Linked DNA regions of Macaca fascicularis. The protein of the gene in region 1 interacts with the protein of each later gene in a pairwise test. Links are inferred from orthologs where the notes say so. Each region holds a gene or a part of one and is shown in the gene's direction. Other genes may lie near its edges.

Region 1 (3,485 bases):
ATCATAGTCCCAATTTTACAGAGAAGGAAATTAAGTGGCAGAGAAGTGAAGTGACTTGAGTGATTTGTTCAGGGTGGTACAGACAGAGCCAGTGGTGGACATAGGAAGAGGAGAAGCCTCAGTCCCCATCTTTGGTTTGTTCCTGACCTGGTTCGGAGATGAAACTCCTGCCTGGAAGACAGTGAAAGACAAACCCAGGACTCAGGGTGACCAATGGCTAGTGGGTCAGGCTGTCACTACAGGTGAGGGTTTAGAGGGCATTCCTGGAATAGATAAGGTAAGGACACAGAACCCACTGGTGATTCTGAACTTTTCTTCTCTCTGATGATACAGATTAATAACTTGAATGTTGAAGAGAACAGCAGTGGGGATCAGAGGCGGGCCCCACTGGCTGCAGGGACCTGGAGGTCTGCACCAGTTCCAGTGACCACTCAGAACCCACCTGGCGCACCCCCCAACGTGCTCTGGCAGACGCCATTGGCTTGGCAGAACCCCTCAGGCTGGCAAAACCAGACAGCCAGGCAGACCCCACCAGCACGTCAGAGCCCTCCAGCTAGGCAGACCCCACCAGCCTGGCAGAACCCAGTTGCTTGGCAGAACCCAGTGATCTGGCCAAACCCAGTAATCTGGCAGAACCCAGTGATCTGGCCAAACCCCATTGTCTGGCCTGGCCCTGTTGTCTGGCCGAATCCACTGGCCTGGCAGAATCCACCTGGATGGCAGACCCCACCTGGATGGCAGACCCCACCAGGCTGGCAGGGTCCTCCAGACTGGCAAGGTCCTCCTGACTGGCCGCTACCACCCGACTGGCCACTGCCACCCGATTGGCCACTTCCCACTGACTGGCCACTACCACCTGACTGGATCCCCGCTGATTGGCCAATTCCACCTGATTGGCAGAACCTGCGCCCCTCGCCTAACCTGCGCCCTTCCCCCAATTCGCGTGCCTCACAGAACCCGGGTGCTGCACAGCCCCGAGATGTGGCCCTTCTTCAGGAAAGAGTAAGAGCTGTAACTCCCCAGTCACTTTTCCCCTCTCTTGCTCTTTTCTTTGTCACCCTCTCATCTATAATTCAACCAAGATTTTTTGTAAATATCTTATAAGTTTAATGATTTCCTTTTTCCCTCCCAGGCAAATAAGTTGGTCAAGTATTTGATGCTTAAGGACTACACAAAGGTGCCCATCAAGCGCTCAGGTAGGCATCCGTGTCCCCTCCCCAAGCTCTACCCTTCCCTTCACTCCATGCTCTGTTGGTGTTCTTCTGCTTGTATGACCCTTCCCCTTCTGTCCCCTCCTTTCCATGGTTGGCTCTTTTCACCCTTGAGGACCTTGACTGTGCTACCCACAGCAGGGCTGGCAAAGGGACTGCTGCTCTGTGGCCTCCACTCGGCTCAGATGGCTCCCTCCTCTCTCCTACAGAAATGCTGAGAGATATCATCCGTGAATACACTGATGTTTATCCAGAAATCATTGAACGTGCATGCTTTGTCCTAGAGAAGGTGAGAAGACAGCCCTGGGGGACAGGAATAATGGGGAAAGTTGATTTCAAAGATTCATGGGGTTCCTATTGGGAGTTTAGGGCAAGTCTCAGGGAGGTGAGTGTCTGCCTATGGGTAGCTTATGCTAGATGTTGTAATTTCATGGTCTGTTTTCTTGTCCCTGTAGAAATTTGGGATTCAGCTGAAAGAAATTGACAAAGAAGAACACCTGTATATTCTCATCAGTACCCCCGAGTCCCTGGCTGGCATACTGGGAACGTAAGATGGGAAAGAAGGTGGAGCATGGCCTTTCTCAGTGGTGCTTTTTTTCCAGGAGTTTCACATAGATCAGGGTCCAGGGTTCAGGGTCACATAGCAGGTCATGGGCAGAGCTGGGGTATAATTCTCCCCTAGCTGAGGAATACTGGGGAGGCTAGATGGGTAAGCTGGTTGGGGTCTCTCATGCAAATGGCTGCTGAAAATACATTCTTTCTATATTCCCTTAGGACCAAAGACACACCCAAGCTCGGTCTCCTCTTGGTGATTCTGGGTGTCATCTTCATGAATGGCAACCGTGCCAGTGAGGGTGAGTGACTGGACCTGCAGCTGGGGGTTGGCCACAGCCTGATTTCCATGCTTATTTTCCGTCCCTTGTCTCCCCTTGCCTCCCATTGCAGCTGTCCTCTGGGAGGCACTACGCAAGATGGGACTGCGTCCTGGGTATGATTGGGCTCTCTCATCTCTTACCCGTTTGTACCATCCTTTGGCAACAGTGGATGGTCCCAGGATTGCATTAACCTGGGGGTCTGGAGGGTTTGGTTTGGGGATGTTCAGAGCCCAAAGATGTAACCTGGGTGGATGGGGGAACAGTTCTGAACTCTCTGCCTCTTTTCTCATCTCTGACCTCTGTTCTGGAAAGCTCTTTGGGCATAGTAATAGCCTCTGATTGTGGATTTCCTTTTTTTACCTTCAGGGTGAGACATCCCCTCCTTGGAGATCTAAGGAAACTTCTCACCTACGAGTTTGTAAAGCAAAAGTAAGTGATGCCTAAGGGGCTTTTCCTGCTCCCTATGATTCTGCCTGTGTGCTGGTCAGCTTTAGAAAGCCCTTCCTGGACAGGTACAATGGCTCACGCCTGTAATCCCAGCACTTTGGGAGGCTCAGGTGGGCAGATCCCTTGAGCCCAGGAATTCAAGACCAGCCTGGGAAACATGACGAAACCCCATCTCTACAAAAAATACAAAAATTAGCCAGGCGTGGTGACATGCACCTGTAGTCCCAGCTACTTGGGAGGCTGAGGTAGGGGAGAATCATCTGAGCCCAGGAAGTTGAGGCTGCAGTGAGTTGTGATCATGCCAACTGCACTCCAACCTGGGCAACAGAGCGAGACCCTGTCTCCAAAAAAAAAATTAAAAAAAGCCCTTCTGAAGCTCATTTCTTACACTGTACCTGTGCATATGTGTTTCTGTGCGTACAGAAACGTGTGTCCTCAGGAGTATTTATTGCATATACTCCTCGTGGTTAGATTCTTTCTTTTCTTTTCTTTCCTTTTCTTTTCTTTTCTTTTCTCTTCTCTTCTCTTCTCTTCTCTTCTCTTTTCTCTTCTCTTCTTTTCTTTTCTTCTTTTCTTCGAGATGGAGTTTCACTCTTGTTGCCCAGGCTGGAGTTCCATGGCATGATCTTGGCTCACTGCAGCCTCTGCCTCCTGGGTTCAAGCGATTCTCCTGCTTCAGCCTCCCGAGTAGCTGGGATTACAGGCATGCACCACCACGCCCAGCTAATTTTGTCTTCTTAGTAGAGATGGAGTTTCTGCATGTTAGACCGGTCTCGAACTCCCGACCTCAGGTGATGCTCCTGCCTCGGCCTCCAAAAGTGCTGGGATTAAGGCGTGGGCCACCGTACCCGGCGAATTCTTTTGTTTGCTTTTTTCGAGACTGAGTCTCACTCTATTGCCCATGCTGGAGTGCAGTGGCGCAATCTTGGCTCGCTTGAACTTCCACCTCCTA
Region 2 (3,747 bases), on another chromosome or scaffold:
CTGAATTTGACGACTGCAGTGTGGTTATGTAAGAGAATGTCTTTTCTTAGGAGATACACCGTGAAACAGAGGAAAAAGGACATGATTCTGAAACTCTCAAATGTTTCAAAAAGTAACATATTGAAATCACACATAGGTACACATGTGCATAGGTATACATATATATGTATAGAGACATTGCAGTAGCAAATGTGTTAACATTTGGCAAATCTGGATAAGGATTTGCAATTCTGCTGCATTTGAAATTATTTAAAAATACAAAACTTGAGTGTTTGGAGAAACAGGAATAAGAAATATTTTGTTACTATATTTGCGGCTTCTATACAGTCTTTTACGACGCAATTGAAAAAAAAAACTAAACTAAAAAATATAACATAAATCTTCCCTCCCATAGTGGCCAGAAACCCCTGCCAAGTTCTTCGGATATCGTAACAGGAAAAAAATGCAAAGCAATATGTCTTTCTATAAAGATTACTTATTTACTAATTATCATTTTTTAATTTTCATGAAGATCAACAACAAAGTTTTTTTAAAATAATGACTTTGAGAATCATTTTGCGGTATTTGTTCAAGGCTCTCGCCCAGGAAAACGCCCAGGGACCATGCGCGCTTCAATCCAGTGGAAACACGAACGGCCCAGGGACCGCCCCTTCGCGTTGCTTGACGGGATCTGGAGTCCTCCCGCTCCGCCCGGCCAGGCGCTCGGGAACCGCCCGTCTGCTCCCTCATCTCGCGATGCCATCCTCCTTTTTTTTTTTTTTTCCCCCCCTCCCACTCGCCCCTAAGCCCTATGACTCCCTCCCCTCTCAACGTGTTTTTCAAATCCACCAATGGGCACACAGCTTGGGCTCGAACCAGCCAATCGGAATGCGGAGTCACCGGGAAATTTAAATCGCGCCGGCCGGCTGCACGAGCCACACGGTCTTTGAGCTGAGTCGAGGTGGACCCTTTGAGCGCAGCCGTCCCACAGCCGCTGATTCCCCGCATCGCCTCCCGTGGAAGCCCGGGCCCGCTTCTCAGGTACAGACTCAGGCGGCGGCTCGGCCCGAGCGCTAACGGTTTGCCCGCGGGCGGCGTTCGCCTTTGGGTGGGGGGAAGGAGGCCCCGGGTCCACGCCGAGCCTGGCTCAGCCTCCCGCGTTGTCTAGGCCTCGGGGGCGACTGGTTCATTGACCAGGCGGCTGAGTTTCGCGGGGTCTGCGGGTTTAGGGCGCCGACGCTCTTCAAACGGCAGCGGAGACCATAACGCGTCGCGGCCGGGAGAATCGGAGCGAGCCAGGCCTGAGGGCGAATGTCCCGGGAGGGCTCGTGGCGGCCCTGGCCTCGCTTCCCCCTTTCTCGTTGCATCTTCCCCGACGTAGGGGCAGGGGCAGGGGCTGGGGGTGGCAGTTGGGAGCACTGTCTCTGACACTTTGGCCCCGGGGTGGCTGTGCCACCAAGTCGTAGGCGAGCGTAATGAAAGCAAAGATAGCAAATTGTAAGGAGGGCTTTGACTTTTGTCGTCTTCTGAATGACGCACAGCTGATGTCGTCCTAATTAAGTGCATTCGCTCCTAGTCTCTGGAAATGCAAATCAAATATGCGACATGCGGCACTGCATTTTTAATGTTGACCATAATGTAATGATGAAGCAAATTTTTTTTAGTTTTCGAATCTGCACCTATTTTGGCCAAGTAAAGACAGTAAAGTAGTGCGAGCCTCCTGAGAATCTGAATTTATTGCCCTGGCACATAATTTTTAGCTGTAAGTTAACTTGGTTCCCCTGCTTTGCCTTGGATTAACTATTAGGGACTCTGGAGTATCGAGCCAGGCTGTCAGAAACGGTGGACACACGTGGCTAGTCCAAATTGAAATACGCTGTAAGCTTAAAGTACACAAAAGACTTCAAAGATAGAGTATGGAAAAAGAATGTAAAAGATGTCAGTTATTTTATATATTGAAATATATATGTTGAAATACTATTTGGATATGTTGGGTTAAGTAAAATAAATTATTGAAATTAGTTTCACTTGTTTCTTTTCGCCTTTTAAAAAGTATGGCTACTAGGAAGTTTCAATTTATATAGCTTGCATTCTATTTCTGATGGACAGCCCTCTCCAGGAAGTCTCAGCGCTTCAGAGGGAAGGGGGACAGTTCCCGTTTGGGTAAAGCTATTTCATAGTGCTGAAAGCATGATGATCCCCCCTCTAGTATACAGGTGTGGATTCAGTAGATGCTTGATAATTCAATTCTTATTTGGTACTATTATTGACAAAGGAAAATGATAAAGGAAATATTTTTCTCCTCGCCCATCTTTTAGCTTTCTCCCTTTGTCTCATAACCATGTCCACCAATGAGAATGCTAATACACCAGCTGCCCGTCTTCACAGATTCAAGAACAAGGGAAAAGACAGTACAGTGAGTACCTTCTGTTGCTTTCCTGTGGTGGTGTTTAAATGGGAGGACATTTGGAAAGGGGTGAAAACTTAGGGATCTTTTTAAAAATACCCTCACTTAGCAACAAAAACTGATGTGATAGGTGAAACGGCATGTTATCTTTTCTCAAGGAAATGAGGCGTCGCAGAATAGAGGTCAATGTGGAGCTGAGGAAAGCTAAGAAGGATGACCAGATGCTGAAGAGGAGAAACGTAAGCTCATTTCCTGATGATGCTACTTCTCCGCTGCAGGAAAACCGCAACAACCAGGTAAAAAATGTATTTTGGTTTATGAGTTACGTGAAATCCAGAAAATCAGTAGGAACTTTTCTTAGAAATTCCAGTAAACTTAACATTTTTAGCCTTAGGTTGTAACTATCTGTGAAGATCTTTTTCTCTGTTCCCAATTAGTAATTGTCTTCTTTCCTGCCTTCCATAATCCACTGAAGCTGATTTAGGATCTTCCTTTAGCTCTGACCTTCCTTCAGACTTCCCTGCATTTCTAGCTGCTAACTGGGTACCTTGACCTGACCACTGTGTCCAGAGCCAACCAGTTTCTGGTTTATTCTTTTTTTTTTTTTTTCCCTAGACGGGGTCTTGCTTTGTTGCTCAGGCTGGAGTGCAGTGGCACAATCTTGGCTCACAGCAACCTCTGCCTCCTGGGTTCAAGCAATTCTCCTGCCACAGCCTCCTGAGTAGCTGGGATTACGGGCACGCACCACCATGCTTGACTAGTTTTTGTATTTTTTTTTTGTTTTGTTTTTTTGAGTTTCCCTCTGTCGCCCAGGCTGGAGTACAGTGGTGTGATCTCAGCTTACTGCAAGCTCCACCTCCCAGGTTCACGCCATTCTCTTGCCTCAGCCTCCCAAGTAGCTGGGACTACAGGCACCTACCACCCTGCCCAGCTAATTTTTTTGTATTTTTAGTAGAGACGGGGTTTCATCATGTTAGCCAGGAAGGTCTCTGATCTCCTGACCTCGTGATCCACCCGCCTCGGCCTCCCAAAGTGCTGGGATCACAGGTGTGAGCCACTGCCCGGTCTGTTTTTGTATTTTTAGTAGAGGCAGAATTTCACCATGTTGGCCATGCTAGTCTTGAACTCCTGACCTCGTGATATGCCTGCCTTGGCCTCCCAAAGTGCTGGGATTACAGGCGTGAGCCACCAGGCCCTGCCCGTTTTTGGTTTATTTCTGCCTTTTTTGGTATTCTCTCTTTTTTTGTATTTGTCACCAGCTTTGTTCAGGACTTTCCTTCTGAAATATTTACGGTAGCCTCCTAAGTTATCATTTCCTCCTTTCTGTGCCATATATTATTTTCCTGAAATTTTTCCTAAAG
Region 3 (3,747 bases), on another chromosome or scaffold:
GTGCAAACCCTAAAACTCTTACAAACATCGGATATTAGTACTAACTTCATTAGGAATGTGAGTTATGTCAGAGTAAAAGCGCTCAGAGCTGGGGTGAACTACAGACGGGTGGCTTCATTCCTCGACCTTCCAATTCGAGATCTTTTTCCTTCTGCGGGAGGGGAAGCAGGCAAATAGCCTGCCTCTCACAGAGTGCCCATTCCCTCCCCGGGAACCAAGGTGCTCAGGCGGGTAAACTCAGGACACAACACTGTACAACTAGTCCCACAGGCAGGAGCCACTCCCTGGCCCTCGGGTCTCTCAAGCCCCGCCTGCTCCAAGCTACGGCCCCGCCCCAAAAGGAGACTGACCCCGCCCCCTCTGCGCTGGCCGGCACTCCTGCCGCGCGGAGCCTCCAGGACAGTCCCAGGCCCGTGCCGGAGATTCCCGAGCTTCCCCGATCGCTTCCCAGCCTCCCTCGGGCAGCTAGCGAGGAGGCGACGGAGATTGCCGAGAAGGGCTGGCCCCGCCCATCCGCAGGCCGCCACCGCCCCCCTAGCCATAGCCTCCCGCGCGGGCTGGAGTCCTACATCCCGGTCCCTCCCTCCCTCTTTCTCTCTCCCCGCCTTCCCGGTGCTGCCACAGTGGCGGGTCGGAGGATCCCGGCCAGTCAGCTCGTTCCTGCCTCGCGCCCCTCCTCCCCCCAAATAAACAGCCCTCCCTACGCCTTGGGAGCCCGGACCGCCCCCTTCCTCCCTCGGCCGGCGTGTTGTGAGGGAGAGTGTGAGCCAGCGCGGCCGGCGGGCGAGCTCCGGGAGTGCGAGAGGCGGGGCGGCGCGGCGGGCCGGGCCGGGTGTCGCGTGTGCGTGCGGGGGTGCGAGCGAGTGCCCGTCGCGACCCGCCAGTGGCCCCGCGCCGACAACCCGGCGGGCGGGCGGCCGAGCGAGCGAGCGGCCAGGCGAGGAGCTGCGGGTGCGAGCCGCGGAGGGGCGCGGAGTCCGCGCGCTCGCGCGCACGCACGCACGCACGCACGCGGGGGGCGGGGGCAGGCGCGCGCCCGCCTGTCGCGACAGTCGGGGCCGAGGCCCAGGGGGAGGTGGCCTGTCGCGGGTCGCCCGGCTCCCGGAGGCGAGGGGGGCGCGGGCGGATGGCGGAGGGCGCCCAGCCGCAGCAGCCGCCTCAGCTCGGGCCCGGCGCCGCTGCCCGGGGCATGAAGCGGGAGTCGGAGCTGGAGCTGCCGGTGCCCGGAGCCGGAGGAGACGGAGCCGATCCTGGCCTGAGCAAGCGGCCGCGCACTGAGGAGGCGGCGGCCGACGGTGGCGGCGGGATGCAGGTGACCGCGCGGGACGGGGCGCCCAGTTATTGCGGGGGAGAGGGGGAGTGGCGTGAGGGGCGACCCCGGGCTCCCCGGCTTGGAAAGAGGGAGGGCCTCCGGGGGTCCTGGGTTGGAGGTGGGATGGGGGGACCAGTCGGGGCCTGGTTGGAAGGTGGGGCGAGCTCGGGCTAGGAACGAAGGTTGCAGGACTGATCCTGGTGTGCCTGAGAGGGTCCTGATTCCTGAGGGGCGAGGAGGCACGACGAGTGGATAGGTTTTGGGGGGAAATCGAACGTGGTTGAGATGGATTCCATTTCTTCAAATCCTTCCTTAGTGCCCTGGGGTGGAGTGGAAGCCGGGAAATCCTGGGTTCTCTGGACGGAGTCGAGGAAGAGGGGATCTCGTGGGAAACCTCCCAAGAAGAGGGAGTACCTTTTGGCAGCCCTGGGCACCCGCTGGGATGGGGAAGAGAAGTGGCGTTTCAAGGAGAGGAGTGAAAAGCAAGAAAACTCCGAGAGAGAGCCCCGAGGGGATGTGGCTGAGATTGTGGGTTAAAACACACAGAGAGTGTGAGAAGTACAGGGAGTTTGGTAATGTTGTGGGGACACGGTGGTGCTCAGTCTCATTAACTTTGTGGAGCATACTAATGAGTCTGAAGGGAGACACCAGACATGTCCCTCCTGTTCTTTGCCAATTGCATTCTACATCTCCAGGACACAAAATAGCTCTTTAATGTCCTGGGCTATTAAAAAAAAATTTATAGGGCTATTAGAAGACTGGATTCTCAATTCTGGATTCAAAGATAAAAGTGGTTAATTTGGGTAGGGAATGGGAAAGGTATTGATGATGTCAGTTGACTTCATAGTTTTGAGGAAGACCTTGAAACCTTTGTAGGTTTTAGGGTTTGGTCTCTGCCCAGAAAATACTGCTATGAAATGGTGAGTCTCACCTATCAGCAATTGTGCAGACATGTGCCTAGTTCTCTCAGAGTCATAGGATGTTAGAGGGATGAGGAAGACTAGACATCTTTTCCAGGGGTTCTTAACCTGGACAGACTAGGAAGATTCTTACTTATAAAAGGTGATGTGCACTTTTTGGTGGCAGAGAGTCAATAATTTTCATCTTGGTTTTTTTTGGAGGGGATTTGAGTCCCAGCTTGTTTTAACCACCTTATTTTATAGATGGGGAATCAGAAGTCCAGAGAAGATGAGTGACTTGGGTAAGGCCACCCAGTTAGCTGATAGTAAAACTAGAACCAGAAGCCTGGTCTTCTAATTCCTATTCCTGTGCTGTCTCCATTACACCACTCTTGGAAATCTCTGCAGTGCTAAAAGACTTCCTGTGCTCTGCTCCCTGCTTTTCAAGCCTCTGCCTGACTTCCTGTGTTAGGGACGGAGCTGTACTTAAGCCTAGCGTATTTGTTGTGTGCTTCTTGGTCTCCTTTGCAGAGTTTACCCTGTTACTTGTGTTGATTTAGGTAAAGTGACCCTCTTGGTGTTTATTTTTGAATTCTTTTGTTTTGTTTGCCTGCTTTTATTTTCCATTAGAACTCTGTCAGGTAGAGGGATTGTGAGAAGTAAAAGCTCAGGGCCATGGAAAAAAAGACAGGAATATGGGAGACTGCAGGTGAGGTGAGCTAATATTGGATGGTAAGGAGGGAAGACTGGATATAGGTGCTGGTGAGCAGGTTCTACTTTGTGTGTGTGTGTGTGTGTGTGTGTGTGTATGTCTGTATGTATTCATTTATCATTTCTGTCAATCATAGTTAATAGTGAGACCCCCATCCCTTTCCCTCATTTACTCCTGGGGCCTATTATCTGCTGGTTGCCTTCAAATTGGCTAAAGATAGTGATATTCGGAAATGGAGCAATATGTAGGGACTTCACAGGGGTGTGCAGAGGAAAGAGTGGTTAGGTCCTTGGGGGTAGCTGAGAACTATCCCTCTGAGAATCCTTTTTTCACTCTGTGTATTTGTGGGTGTTCTTTGTTTATTTTCTTTCTATACATTTTTTTTTTTGCCCAGGATGGAGTGCAATGGCACGATCTCGGCTCACTGCAACCTCTACCTCCACCTCTGGGTTCAGGCGATTCTCCTGCCTCTGCTTTCTGAGTAGATGGGATTACAGGCATGTGCCACCATGCCCAGCTCATTTTTCGTATTTTTAGTAGAGGGGGATTTTCACCAGGTTGGCCAGGCTGTTCTCGAACTCCTGACCTCAGATGGTCCACCCACCTCAGCCTCCCAAAATGTTGGGATTACAGGCGTGAGCCACCACACCCAGCCTTCTGTGCATTCTCATTGTTGTAGGTCCATTCCCCTATGTCATACAGGTATTCAGATCATCACTGATTTAGGTCCTGCCTTCAACTAGCTGAGTGCCTGCAGAAATCTTTCATTTTGGGGCCTCTGTTTTCCTTAGCTATAAAATAAAGTATGTGTACAAGATGATTTC

Evidence for each region.
Region 2: the proteins of MAGED1 (region 1) and KPNA2 interact in binary tests that used the Homo sapiens proteins (3 or more experiments, as listed by UniProt). The two-hybrid records come from large-scale screens. The link is inferred for Macaca fascicularis from reciprocal best matches to the Homo sapiens genes MAGED1 and KPNA2.
Region 3: the proteins of MAGED1 (region 1) and RBFOX2 interact in binary tests that used the Homo sapiens proteins (3 or more experiments, as listed by UniProt). The two-hybrid records come from large-scale screens. The link is inferred for Macaca fascicularis from reciprocal best matches to the Homo sapiens genes MAGED1 and RBFOX2.

Annotation. Positions count from the first base shown.
Region 1 is NC_088395.1:51,964,688-51,968,172, forward strand, and holds part of MAGED1 (melanoma-associated antigen D1), read left to right. Parts: intron 1-333; coding exon 334-1,002; intron 1,003-1,132; coding exon 1,133-1,196; intron 1,197-1,420; coding exon 1,421-1,500; intron 1,501-1,666; coding exon 1,667-1,758; intron 1,759-1,985; coding exon 1,986-2,065; intron 2,066-2,156; coding exon 2,157-2,199; intron 2,200-2,452; coding exon 2,453-2,515; intron 2,516-3,485. UniProt on the Homo sapiens protein: Involved in the apoptotic response after nerve growth factor (NGF) binding in neuronal cells. Inhibits cell cycle progression, and facilitates NGFR-mediated apoptosis. May act as a regulator of the function of DLX family members.
Region 2 is NC_088390.1:74,459,585-74,463,331, forward strand, and holds the start of KPNA2 (importin subunit alpha-1), read left to right. Parts: upstream 1-916; 5' UTR 917-1,020; intron 1,021-2,297; 5' UTR 2,298-2,320; coding exon 2,321-2,395; intron 2,396-2,544; coding exon 2,545-2,682; intron 2,683-3,747.
Region 3 is NC_088384.1:15,622,292-15,626,038, forward strand, and holds the start of RBFOX2 (RNA binding protein fox-1 homolog 2), read left to right. Parts: upstream 1-1,050; 5' UTR 1,051-1,126; coding exon 1,127-1,312; intron 1,313-3,747. UniProt on the Homo sapiens protein: RNA-binding protein that regulates alternative splicing events by binding to 5'-UGCAUGU-3' elements. Prevents binding of U2AF2 to the 3'-splice site.